Arabidopsis thaliana: one gene and its partners. The protein of the gene in region 3 interacts with the protein of the main gene of each other region in a pairwise test. Each region holds a gene or a part of one and is shown on either strand. Other genes may lie near its edges.

What was found. Proteins that work in one complex are often made in the same cells at the same time.
Region 1: the proteins of AT5G15790 (region 3) and UBC36 interact in a two-hybrid assay, tested with the Arabidopsis thaliana proteins (one large-scale study listed by BioGRID).
Region 2: the proteins of AT5G15790 (region 3) and UEV1D-4 interact in a two-hybrid assay, tested with the Arabidopsis thaliana proteins (one large-scale study listed by BioGRID).

Annotation. Positions count from the first base shown.
Region 1 is NC_003070.9:5,775,667-5,780,211, forward strand, and holds UBC36 (ubiquitin-conjugating enzyme 36), read right to left. Parts: upstream 2,819-4,545; 5' UTR 2,662-2,818; coding exon 2,626-2,661; exon of another isoform or gene 2,424-2,625; coding exon 2,369-2,423; intron 2,273-2,368; coding exon 2,186-2,272; intron 2,163-2,185; exon of another isoform or gene 1,807-2,162; coding exon 1,748-1,806; exon of another isoform or gene 1,455-1,747; coding exon 1,413-1,454; intron 1,301-1,412; coding exon 1,227-1,300; intron 1,119-1,226; coding exon 1,021-1,118; intron 922-1,020; coding exon 884-921; 3' UTR 511-883; downstream 1-510. Other genes in the region: ACR11 (uridylyltransferase-like protein), read left to right, coding at 38-143, 247-315, 397-459; EBS3 (Alg9-like mannosyltransferase family), read right to left, coding at 3,596-3,727, 3,816-3,905, 3,999-4,195, 4,368-4,506. UniProt on the Arabidopsis thaliana protein: Catalyzes the synthesis of non-canonical poly-ubiquitin chains that are linked through 'Lys-63'. This type of poly-ubiquitination does not lead to protein degradation by the proteasome. Mediates transcriptional activation of target genes.
Region 2 is NC_003074.8:19,493,867-19,497,796, forward strand, and holds UEV1D-4 (ubiquitin E2 variant 1D-4), read right to left. Parts: upstream 2,230-3,930; 5' UTR 2,089-2,229; coding exon 2,055-2,088; exon of another isoform or gene 2,032-2,054; intron 1,543-2,031; coding exon 1,403-1,542; coding exon of another isoform or gene 1,400-1,402; intron 1,217-1,399; coding exon 1,037-1,216; intron 953-1,036; coding exon 812-952; 3' UTR 511-811; downstream 1-510. Other genes in the region: AT3G52561 (uncharacterized protein), read right to left, coding at 3,322-3,621. UniProt on the Arabidopsis thaliana protein: Has no ubiquitin ligase activity on its own. The heterodimer with UBC catalyzes the synthesis of non-canonical poly-ubiquitin chains that are linked through 'Lys-63'. This type of poly-ubiquitination does not lead to protein degradation by the proteasome.
Region 3 is NC_003076.8:5,147,045-5,151,305, forward strand, and holds AT5G15790 (RING/U-box superfamily protein), read left to right. Parts: upstream 1-1,678; 5' UTR 1,679-1,970; exon of another isoform or gene 1,971-2,555; 5' UTR 2,556-2,755; coding exon 2,756-2,875; intron 2,876-2,968; coding exon 2,969-3,410; intron 3,411-3,497; coding exon 3,498-3,727; downstream 3,728-4,261.

The sequences.
Region 1 (4,545 bases), on a different chromosome or scaffold from region 3:
CTGATCATTGATCCATAATTATTTGTTGATGATGCAGTTTACTCTTCATAGAATCAGCGGATAGACCTGGACTATTAGTTGAGCTGGTGAAGATCATTTCAGATATCAGCGTCGCTGTTGAATCTGGAGAATTCGACACCGAGGTATCTAATAATCCTGTTTTTTAATGTCTAAAACATATACCCTCCGCTATAATATCGCTCTGTTTCTCATGTTGCTTCTTCTTGTTGTATGTGAAACAAAAAGGGTTTGTTGGCTAAGGTGAAGTTTCATGTAAGCTACAGGAACAAAGCCCTAATCAAGCCTCTCCAGCAGGTTAAAATTCTGAAATTAGACTTTTCTCTTTGATAAGTTGAAATGTTTTTACTGAAATGAAATCAAATTTTGTATTTGTAGGTCCTTGCTAATAGTCTGAGGTACTTCTTGAGGCGTCCATCAACTGACGAGTCAAGTTTCTGATTATGCCCATTTTTCAAAATCTCAAGTCTCATTCCTCGTGACTACTATTTTTACCACTTTTTTTTTTTTTTACATTTGACCAAAATAAGCTGCTTCATACACCTGTAATAGTAACATTATGCATCATTCATCCAATTTACTTTGATTCACAACCTGTGAAAATCTGATTATCTACACCACTTTATAAAGATTATTATAGAGCATATATAACAAAAACAAAGATCAAAAGCAAGCACAATTGAAGAAAGTTAGATTCCAGATATGGGTAAACGAGTCTTAGATCCCCCTAGTTATACAAATTCAGAGAGTACAAATCTTTTTCCTCTGTTTTCAGAAAAAGGATTCAGATAAAACCTTGAGATAGAGTTTCACCATATATAATGTTATTTAAATGACAATGATCTTTCTCCATTTGCAGTCTTCTTTAAGCACCACTTGCGTAAAGACGAGTCCATTCCTTAGCTGCATAAGTTCACATTGATATGAGATTACCAGATTAGAGAGGAGAGGAATAAAGTTTTTGTTGCAACTTTTTTGAGTTTTTCGATCGTATTTTATCACCTGTTTCCACAGCTTCTGCCTCATTGCTCTTCCAATGCTTAGCTATGTTCTCAGACAGAGGATCATCTGGGTTTGGTGCACTTAAAAGAGCTTGGATACTGTTTTTACACGGCAATGGAAAATCAGAAAGTGTGAATAATTAAATCTTAATTTCTACAATATTTTGGATTTAGTAGGGAAAGAAGATTCTATGGATATATTCATACCTCAAGAGCACAGTTCGTATTTGTAGTGCAGGACTCCACTTGTCTTTCAGTATGTCAAGGCAGATTCTTCCAAGCTATATATACATGATAAGTGCAAACAAAACATGATCCATAAGTATAAAAGACCATGTGTTTGGTTAGTTATCTTGACAGTAAGAGAAGAAAAGGAAATTTTTCACAACAGACCTTGTCGATGTTAGGATGGTAAATCTTGGTGAGAAACCTAACCTGTGTTTCAAATGATATCATCAATAAGACCCATAAACTCTACATCAATGAAGAAACTTGGATACGTTGTCTAATATAATATAAGAAAATACATTCGGAGTAGTCATAACAAAACCAAAATCACCAATCTCATAAACCCATAAATAAAATCCTAGTGTTAAGAGTAGAGAGACATTCACTTAAAGAGCATTTACCTCCACTTAACAATGTTATGTGGGGTAATCCTAATGTTACCAAAACAAGTGAAACATGAAATGAAAGAAGAAAAACACACAAAAGTTGAAGCAACTTACCTTGGGAGCTGCCATAGGATATTCTTCAGGCAAAAAGAGCTCCAACTTGAAAACTCCTCCTACAGATTGAGAAGGAAACAAAATTATTGGTAAACATCAATTAACAGAAATATGATGATAGATAAAACAGCAGACTTGATTCTGGAAATTCGACTTGGCATTGTGTATTCTAGAACAAATAAAATGTGTCGAAATGAACTCAAAGGTAGCTTAAAGACTCATCGTTATTCATAACACTACAATCCGAACATGAGCAATCTATGAGACCTAGTAGTACCTAAACGAACATATCCGTTTGTATAAACAAATATAGAGACAGAGCAGAGTCACTACTTGCAGCAGAAACGATAACGATAAATCGTTGAGCAGCATGCATTAAAGAAGAAAAAGGAAGAAGTAACGATGAGCATCTTTGGGAGATTAAAACAATTTGACTACCTTCATAAGGAGATTGAGTAGGACCAAGAATCATAACATTGAAATATCTCATATTTTCCTCTGATGGAGACGCACTTATCCCAGGAGCTGCAATTTCGAAAGATATACAACTTAGAATTAAAATCAATAGTTCCAGCTACCAAAACCAACTGTTTGAGCTAAAATCAACTGTGAGAAATCAACAAGGATCGAATGAAGTGATGAAATTACCAGGTTCACTAAGCAGACGTTGAGTTTCCTATCAGATCGAAGAACAAAAAAAAGTCAGATCAAGATGACGAAGATGATATAAGATCGTACAAGCTATCGAAAATTCTTCCCAGTTCTGCTGAGGTATATAATCCGTCGGTTCCTTCTTCGGATTTCAGATTAGAATTCCCCAAAATGAAACTGAGGGGAGATACGGATCGGAGGATGCTACAGAGGATCGGAAAACTAACCTTGATGATTCGTCGGGGAAGATTACTATTGGCCATTATCGCACGCTATCGGATTCGATCGTCACAGAGAAGTTAGGGTTTTTGAGAGAGAACGAAGCTACCAAAGGCTGATAATAATCGAGTACGCTTCGTCGTCTCTAGTTTCGTGCCCCTTTGATCCTTTTAATTCTTTCTTTTTTTCCTTTACGGAAATAAATTGATGCTTTTATGCTAGTAAAAATATATAATTACATGAAATATGTAAGGAATACATTTAGTAAATAATTTTCTGTAAGTTCTCTTCCATATTCATATTCAATTTTTTTAAGAATAATTTCCATATTCAAATACTTTTTTAACCATGATTGAAAACTACTAAGAAAATAATCTTTTCTTAGTTTTGTAAACGACATGCACTATTTATTAGTCTGGTGGTAACATAGTGACAACATTATTACAAACGTCAATATACCTACCATGATCTCGATGACTCGATCAAATTTTTAGAAAAATTAATACCTTGTTTAGGTTATTCTTTTCTTCAAAGATAATCTTTTACAATATATATACACAACTTTTTTAGTTCATTATCTTCAATTCTATTGCGTTCTTCTTCTGTACCTTTTTACGACGCGTTGGTCAAACGCTAACTTAAAGAGGACAGAAATATGAATTATGAAGTGCCCTCCATAGTCTTCTCATTTTCTCCCTTTTTCTCGATAGCCAAAATTGGAATCCGCAATATCAAAAGACAAAAAGAATATAGACTTTGCACAATAATGTCATAAACATAATCTTCCACGTTCTTCTGACCATTTGGAGATTTCTTACAAAGTTAAAACTAGTCTCTTTCACAACAACACAACTACGAACCGTGAACGTACCTGAACTTAAAGCCGATACTAATCAGTTATTAGTTATTACATTCTCCCAAAACTACCCAATGAACTGAGTTAAAGCTACAAGTCTAAGGAGTTTTAACGATTTGTGATCATTTTGGGACTCTTCTCAGTGCTACGTATTTGCCAAACACATTTTTCTCCTGCCACATGTGCGGGATGAAGAACGATCTATACTTAGCTGGCGACAGCTCTCTGTCCAAATAAGGCAACACCGCAATAGCCTGAAAAAAGGGTCAAAACAACCAATTGAAGAAGTGAAGTGAAATCAAAGATGGATTCTGTTTCAGGAAGATGGTTTGATTCCTATACCTCCCATGTAGATAAGTCGCTGCCTCGATACTGATACGGTCTGCTAAGCTGCAACTCAATGAGGAATGTACAAGTTTCGATGTTCTTTAACTGGAAAAAATGGAACGAGTAAACAAGCCATGATTAAGTTTATGTTTAGAGATATTTTGAAGGTTTCATGAGAGAAGAGTGTGTGAGTATTACATATTGTTCTTCGGATGCTTGGTTCTTGTTGTTGAAGTATGGAGGTGATGCTGAAGTGCCTCCAAGTGTATTGTTAAATGGGAATGGAAGAAGACCGCGGAATCCATCATCGATCCACCGTACTTCGCTAATGTAGTGGGGCACAAAAAACGATGATGGGTATCGATGCCATTCACTTCCCACACATAGAACAGAACCTGACATACAAAACCAACCAAGAAGTCATCAGTGATTAGAAAACTTTTGTCAAAAGGACTTTGTTACCCTTTTTCCAATGGCAAATTACTATTCTTGAAGTAAAAGTGAGATGTGATCTTCACTCGTCTTAGCATTATAATGATCAAGAAGTTCAGTTCGAATTGGATATACCTGGTCCTGCATCATCATGATGCTCCAGTAGTTTGTAGACCTCCAAGGGAGCGGAATAGCCATTAATAAGAGCAAATGTGCGAGAATGTGAAGCACATAAGATACAACCAAGAATCACAGGTCGCATGTATTTGGTTATCTGCGTATTAAACAGATATGTGAGAATCGTACAATCTAC
Region 2 (3,930 bases), on a different chromosome or scaffold from region 3:
ATCTGATGAAACATAAATTAATTGAGCTTCTGAGCAATGTGTAAATGTGTTATAGGTTTAATTACGTTCAACCACTTTTTTCATTTATTTAATAAGTTGATTTTCCAAGACCACTCGTAATCAACTTTCATGGAGTCCGTTTATGGTTAAGACCACTCGTAATCAACTTACAAGCAAGTTAAACAGTGTCCTAAAAGTAGAAGTCTACATGTCGAAGAATGATTGTTTCTATGTCAAGAACGACGACGCGGAACATCAAGAAGTACATGCAAATCGACGTGCATCATCATCAATAAGAAGTGTGCTAATTGTAGAAAAAAGTAACACTTAGTTTTCAAAGGTTCTATTAATCACCGTAAGCATTGGCTTTAGATGAATCACAGAAACAAAAATAAGGGTTACGAAGCTGTTCATGGCTTCTTTTTCCATTAGTTCGGATTACAAAGATTCATGATTTTTTATGATACTTTCTTGTTTTAACCTTGGTGTATTACATAACAAATAACCAATTAAATATAGCAGATTTCATTTATATATAAAAAAAGGGCTGACACAAAATGTTAAATTCAAAAGATTGAACACATGGAGTGAGGAAGAGAAGCTGTTTTTGATATTTGCACACAATGATAAAACTTCAGATGATCAATCGGACAACATCATCATCATCACCATACCATCCACACAGACCATTTTTTGATGAATTAAAAAAAAAAAAGCGTTGAGAACGACAATGGAGGACCCCCAGATACATACTTTGGTATTAGAAGGGGCAATGATTTTCTAGCAAACCAGAAGAAGATTCCAGAAGTAACTAGAAGCAAGTACCTTCCGGAGGTTGAACAAGCTTACGGTTATGCGACGTAGACATTTCCTTCTTCAACTGTACCAGTATATCCTCCATTGTGTACTCTCTTTGCCAGTTTGCAAGTAGCCCAAATTTCTTAGGATCCACCTATACACATACGCATAAAAAAATTACAGAGCATCCAAAGAAACAAAACAGAGAAAGGAAGGGCGGTGGTGAGTTTATACGTACCACTCCTGTTTCGTGGTTGACACAAGCCATGTTGACACGTGAATGGAATCGGACAGTTGGAGGTTTCTCCGGGTAATCTTTGTCACAAAAGAGCTTCAACTGATAGATTCTACCTTCATGAACAGTCTGTGACATAAAATTTATCTCTGTTACTACAAGCAAAAGCAACAATGGCATAATCTGCTCAAATAAAGCTTAAGAGATTGTATGTCGATAAGATCAATGCCTAGAAAACAATGTGGTTTTGATGTTCTGTATTCCAAGCAATGAGATGCAAATAATATTAATCTATGCTTCTCAAAACAATTGTTAACATATATGAAGACGAAGGAGAATGTTAGCAGATAAAGAAAAAGATATAACTACGTTGTGAGGACCGATGATGGTGCCAGTCCAAGAACGCATATAGATGTCATCTCCATCATCCATTCCATAGCTCACAGTTCCATCCCCAATACCTTTCTCCCCACGTTCAAGCTCCTCCAACAACCGAAAATTCCTCGGAACTATATTGCAATAACAAGCGTAACAAAAACAATTCATATCAGTAAATGAAAACAAGCAATCACTTTTTTTAATCAAAGCAGAGAACAGAACATATCATATTAATCATTATCCACAAAGACTAAAATAAGATAACACTCAACAAAGTTAACAATGAGCTATAGAGAAGATGAAAACATTCCTAGCTAAGGTCTTAGAAACAATAAGAAACTCAGGAATAGCATTTTAAACCCATCTCAGGAATTGAGACATCAGCAAATCATTCTCAGCGATTTGTTAAAATTGATTGATTCAGATCAAGCTATATGCGAACAATTTAGACAAAGCTACAATTTTTTATACTAGATCGATAGAACCTATGAGAAATCTCAACACCTATTGATCAAAACGAATAAAACCAAAAGAAGAATTCACCAAAACCCTAGAGAAAAAAAAACAAACGAGGGATTATTCCAAAACCCTAGAATCAAAATCAAAAAACGAGAACAAACCCGAAAGAATCGAAATTTTATACCAACAACGCTAGATCCTCCTGAGCCAAGAGTCATAATTGATGAAGTTGTGGTTTCGATATCCGATTGATTTTGAGATCTGACGAGCAGAGAAGAGAGACGAGAAGAAGTAAAGGGAGAATCGAATAGAGAGAATCTGGTGAATAGACAGAAAGCTAAAATGGGAGGGTCAAATTTGGCAAATCGGGTACTTTTGGGGAGACTGGAAAAAGTTATTTTTTTCAAATTTACCGCCCAAATTTGTTTTTCTATCATATAATTCCTTAAATTATGATAACTACAGAAACACCCCTTTTATTTTCGAGTTTTGACAACATCTATTTGTTATTATTTTAACTAGCAATGCAAAATTTCTATATACATGAAAATTATTGAAATATTAAAACTCGCTTGATTTGCAACTAAATTATCGTAAAATGTAAATTTCTTTTTCAAAAATCATGTTAAAACTTTAGGATAAAATGTTGTCACGTATATATGTCGTCGCATGTGCCTTAATATATATGAAAAACAGAAATTAATTATTTATTAGATTTTTGAAAATTTAGTACTTATAAATAGAAAAATGTCATAAAATACATTAAAACAAATTTTAGTTGCTACTTTTTCACTAAATTTAGGTTTAAAAATATTTTCTTAAATAATTTAATATTTGAAGTTTGTAAAAGTTCTTAAATTTTATTGAATTTGATGGTGAATTGTTTTGAATAAATAACGTTTTAATTGATGAAGATACAACTTTTAACCTTAATTATTGAAAATTTCATCGGATTGAATGCCGATGAAACCAAAGCAATACCATTATTAGCATACTACCAATTTGATTCTTAAGACCCTAATTCGAGACGTGTCGATTTTTTTACTTGTGTTTAAATTTATATTTTGTAATTTTTAAAAATAAACTTTCTATTTTTTTTGGCGTTTTTCATTTACATTGAAAAACTATGTTTCTCTGGAGTATACAAATAAATAAATATAAACGCAAACGCCATAACTAGCGTTTGAAACAATCGAATTCAACTCCGATGAAAATCCATCCTCGTTCATGTCATTGGCTTCCATAGTACTAAAACATGAAAATGGACAACTTAACAAAATGAACCAAGAGGGACGGCCACAAACAGAAATGATCTGTCTGTCAATTTAACATATTAAAATAGAGATTATAATTTAAACAATATGATTTATATAGAGGACTTTACAAAGAAAATTAAATTCATCATCTCAAACTCAAAAGTCCAAATTGAATAATAACTTAAAACAAATTCTCTAAAAGAAGATCAAGTCGGTGCATTTGCACTTGGGGCAACGTTGACGTTCTTGTAAGACCATAACATACATCATACAACTTCGACATCCCATCACCACCATCTCCGGCGCCTCTTCTTCATCAACCCACGACGATGCAACCTCCTCCTTCACTTCCTCCGTCCTCGTCAGGCACGAGTTTTGTGATGATGATGTGTCGCTCGATGGTGATCTTCCTTCAAACCTCCCATTAGCAACCACCGACGCCACGGTCCTCGCCGAGGGCTCAACGCTACCTCTTTTACCATTCTTGTTTCTCATTTCGATACTTCGGTTTCGTCGAGAGGGTTTTTGTATTCTTGTATTTGTTTTTCTCTGTGTTTTTCTAGGGGATGGGTTGATGGTAATGACTTCTAAAGAAAATGTATGTATGTAATATATAAGGAAGAAGAGGAGCTAAAATATGACTAGGAATTAATATTTGTTGAATAAAGTAATTATGTTGTGGAGAGAGATATGACTTTGTTTATTTCGTAATAATTTTTTTAATTGGAGGTGGGAAAGTTAGTAAAAGTATAGTAGAGACAAATATATGAAACAAAAGACAATTCAGTAAACAATGCATTAGTG
Region 3 (4,261 bases):
ATTTTGATAGTTAACTAATATCAGTAACAGTCTATCATGGACGGATTTACATATTTCTAATCGGTAATCCAAACTAGATGTAAGAAGAGGTTACAGAGATTCATTAATTCGCAATATAATTGTTCTAAGAAACTTATACATTGCTTATTATACATTTGTTTATAGATTTGGAGAAACATATAGCCAGTGAGGCTAAAGTTGATAACTAGACTTAAGTAAGTTATAGTTTCTATTTTCTTTAACAGAGGAAACAATACATGCAATTTAAGAAAGTGAAGGCTTATGGGAATGAGAATGGGGAAGGGAATACAGTTGGAGAGTCTCTGTCGATTCACGAGACACTAAGGATGTCCACACAATCATATATACCCAATTCTTACTTCTGTCTTCTTATAGAGTACTACATACATACTCATTCTTGATAAGGGACAAAAAATTAAATAAAATGAGTTAAAGAATGTGAATGTTTTTTAATGGTATTAAAGACTCTGAATGTTCTTCTCGAATTTTCATATTTTAACTTTTGATTTTTGTGTTTTTTTTTAATCAGGAACGCCGTATGTGCTAAAAAAAATACCATTTCATGAGAATAAACAAATTCTATTAGTCGACGACATAAAAAACAACAAACAAACACTATGGTGGATTATAGATAGACTAGGGAATATTGTAACTTTATAAAAAATATTGAAAAAATATGAAAACATTGTAAACTAAAAATCATTAATTTCTAGATAATATAGGACTAAATAATAAAATGGGCCAAGATCAAATTAACCCAAACTGTAGTTTACAACTTGGTTGTTCCCATTCCTTGATATGGGCTAAGTGACATAAAAAGCCCGACTCTTTATTGTCCACTAACAATTGGTCTTTTAACTTCTTGATGGATTAATTGTGGGTGTAGAAGATTATTTTGACTATATAAAAACAGAAAATTAACTAAATATTTTCGATATATTAAATAACTAGATGATAGATGATTTTTTTTTGCAGTAATTTCATAAATTTAGTTTCATAAATTAGTTTGGTTGAATTCAAATTTAGTAAATTGTCAAATTTGAGACATAGATGATAGAACTAAGATTAGTAATTAGTAGCGCTATATATGACTCAATGGATGTGAACAAGATGATAATTTAAAAAAATGTTTTATAAAATTCTTTTTGTCCAATGAACAATAGGTTAAAACGGACAAATTTACTTTTGTGATTTAATTATTGCCATGCATTTTGGCATATAGTCACTCTGTTTCATAATATAAGCTGTTTAATTTTTGTCATTTAACAATTTTAATACGTGTAACATTTCGTCATGCAATGTTATTTTATGTGTAGATATCTAATTTATTAAATGTACTTTTATTTCAGTTATAAAAGTTATACATAATCTGCGATTATAAAATTTTATATTAATATAATGCGTTAAACATTAAGTATCTGTTTACGATAATACCAAAATAAAAAACAAGGGAAAAATTCCATCCCAAATTTTTGCTTTTGTTACTTTTGAATAGCAAATCTCTAATGTATTATTTTTCTAAAATAAAATCTTCCTATCCTAATGTCATCATCTACAAAATCATTAAAATATGTAATGTCTGATTAACTAAAATAATTTTATCAACTAGTATAAAATAAGAGAATCAACCAAAAAAGTTTGGTTTAAATTGTATAGAGAGAGTCCTCCATTAGCGTCCAGCAACAACGCCCACCCACTTTCACACCAACTTGAACACACTACTCCTCCTCCTTCACTTTTTCCTTCAATCTCTCTTCTCGCTGACGACTTGGAAATAAAGTGAGGGAAAATATTCCTCCAACTTCACTTTCCTGAGAATCTGCAAATAAAGCAATTCAACTTCCTTTTCTTTCTTTCTAAATGAAATTTCGTTCTTTGTCTCAGTCTCTCTCTCTTTCTTCGGTCGAGTCCGATCAAAATTGAAAACCCATTGAGTTCCTCGCCAAAAGGTATAGTCTTCGTTATTTCTTCTGTAATTGGATAATGGGGTTTGATCGATTCTGATTAGTACAATCCCAAAGTGTTGTTCTTTGTTTTCTGGTAAATTTTCTCTGCTTTTTTTGTGTTCTGTTTTAAAACAATTATTCTGAGTTAAGCAAAGCAACTTGTGGTTTTGTTGTGTAATGATATCAAGTGGGTTATTTTTTTTATTATAAGTTTCTCTGTTTTATTGCGTTTGTTAGGGATTATCTACCTAAATTAGGTTTCAACTTTTAATCGGTTAGTTGCTTGCATTTCACTTTGACCACTTTTGCCCTTTTTTGTATATCCCCAATTGAAGCCTCGAGTTTTCTTTTTGACCAAACACAATTTTGTACTGAGTTTGGTGAATGTTTGTTTGATGTCTCTTGTTGGGAATCTCTCTGCTTTAAAGTTACTTACTGTCAATGCTGGCAATAAATCTTTAGTTTTTTACTATTTTCATAATATAATGGATTGTTTTGGGGGTTGTGATGAGTTTTGGATAGTAATTGAAGAGGTTTAAAACTCCCTTAAAAAACTACAGTCCAAACAGTGATCAGATCATTCTACAGGTGAAATTTGAGAGAATGAATCAACGAGAGAAGCTGATTGTTGGTGAAATGTTTGGAGAGTTTCTGTAAATAGACGCCTCGGATTTGGCATTGTTAGTGAAGGTTAAAGGAGTTTCCTAGAAGTTTCAAAGCAATTTGCCTCCAAGTTCTTGACTTATAAAACATATTGGAACTAACATTTCAAGAAAGAAGAGAAGGAGATGGGCTGTGTTTCTTCTTGCTTTGGGGTCGATGACTTTGAGGATTACCCCAATCCAAGTAGTTCTGTTAACAGAAGCTGCCCATGCCCGAGATGTCTTGTTAACAACTTCCTTAACCTGGTAATGCTCTTTTTGCAGTTTTTACTTTTCACCTGCTACTTATATGAAATAAAGGAGAGTTCATTGAAGCTTCGGATTTGATCTCTTCTGCAGTATATCTCTTTATTCAGAAGAGGCGAAACCCGCTCTCTCCCATCCTCCTTACAGGCTACTAATGTATCGATAGCTACATCAACTTCGTATGATAACTTTATGTCTAATACATTCCATTCTACTCCAAGGCCTCTGCCTTATGACGCTGATCCAAGATACTTCCGGTCAAGGCGTGATTCGCTTGTTTCTAGACGCGATAAGGGTTCAAGTCATTCTCATGAGGAAGCTGAGCCCTTAAGAAGTGATGCTGATGTGGATTCTGAGTCTTTCTCAGTGGAAGGAAGCAAATGGGCTAACAAGCTTATTATCTCTGGTGAAGATTCCAAAGAAGAGTTCTCTAGATCCTCTCGGAGGATTCTTCAGTCAAGGACAATGTCTACTAGTAACGAAGGCCTGTATATAACATCTGATGATGAAGATGTCTGTCCAACGTGTCTTGAAGGTATTCATTTTCATCTTTTTTTTTCTTTTTCTTGGATCAATGCATTTCAAAGAAGCTTAGTATCAGATTATTTCGTGTGTTTTGTAGAATACATATCAGAGAACCCGAAGATTGTTACAAAGTGTTCTCACCATTTCCACCTCAGTTGCATTTATGAATGGATGGAGAGAAGTGAAAACTGCCCTGTTTGTGGAAAGGTAAACACTTTTCATGTTCTTCCAAGCCAGTTTTCGGCTTCTCATTTACTAGTGTTTCAGAGTCAGACTCAGACACCATCACGCGTAAATAGACGAGTGATCCAGAGATCAATAGAATGAAAGATGTACAACAACCCTAGAAGCACATGCGTAAAATCTTTACTTGTCTTGTCTATGACAAATATGGCTAATCATTCTTCCTGAAACTCAGAACATTTGAATTATTTCTCATTCATGTTGACTAAAGAATATTTTTTTCTCTGCTGTGAATTCGTCTCATTTGCAGGTGATGGAGTTCCACGAAACACCGTAACTTGTTGCCATTGATCCTGTCTTGTACTGCCTAGACCGGACCTGGGGAGATTGACAAGGCAGCAGAGAGATGTGAATATATTTTTTAACAATATATGATATTGTATATGATGGGGAAATGAGGAAACGTCTCTCTGCACGTTTGGCTTATGGAGTTCTGAGGAAACCCTCTTGAGAGAAAACAACAGCAGCAGCAGAACAGATGCACACAGGAATCTGACATGTTTCTTAGGATTTGCCTTTGGCGCAGTGTTTTGTTCAAGGCATGAAACTTTTTACATCATTTTGTATGATTACTTTTAACCTTTTATGAATTTATGAATATATATGTGATGCTTGTAT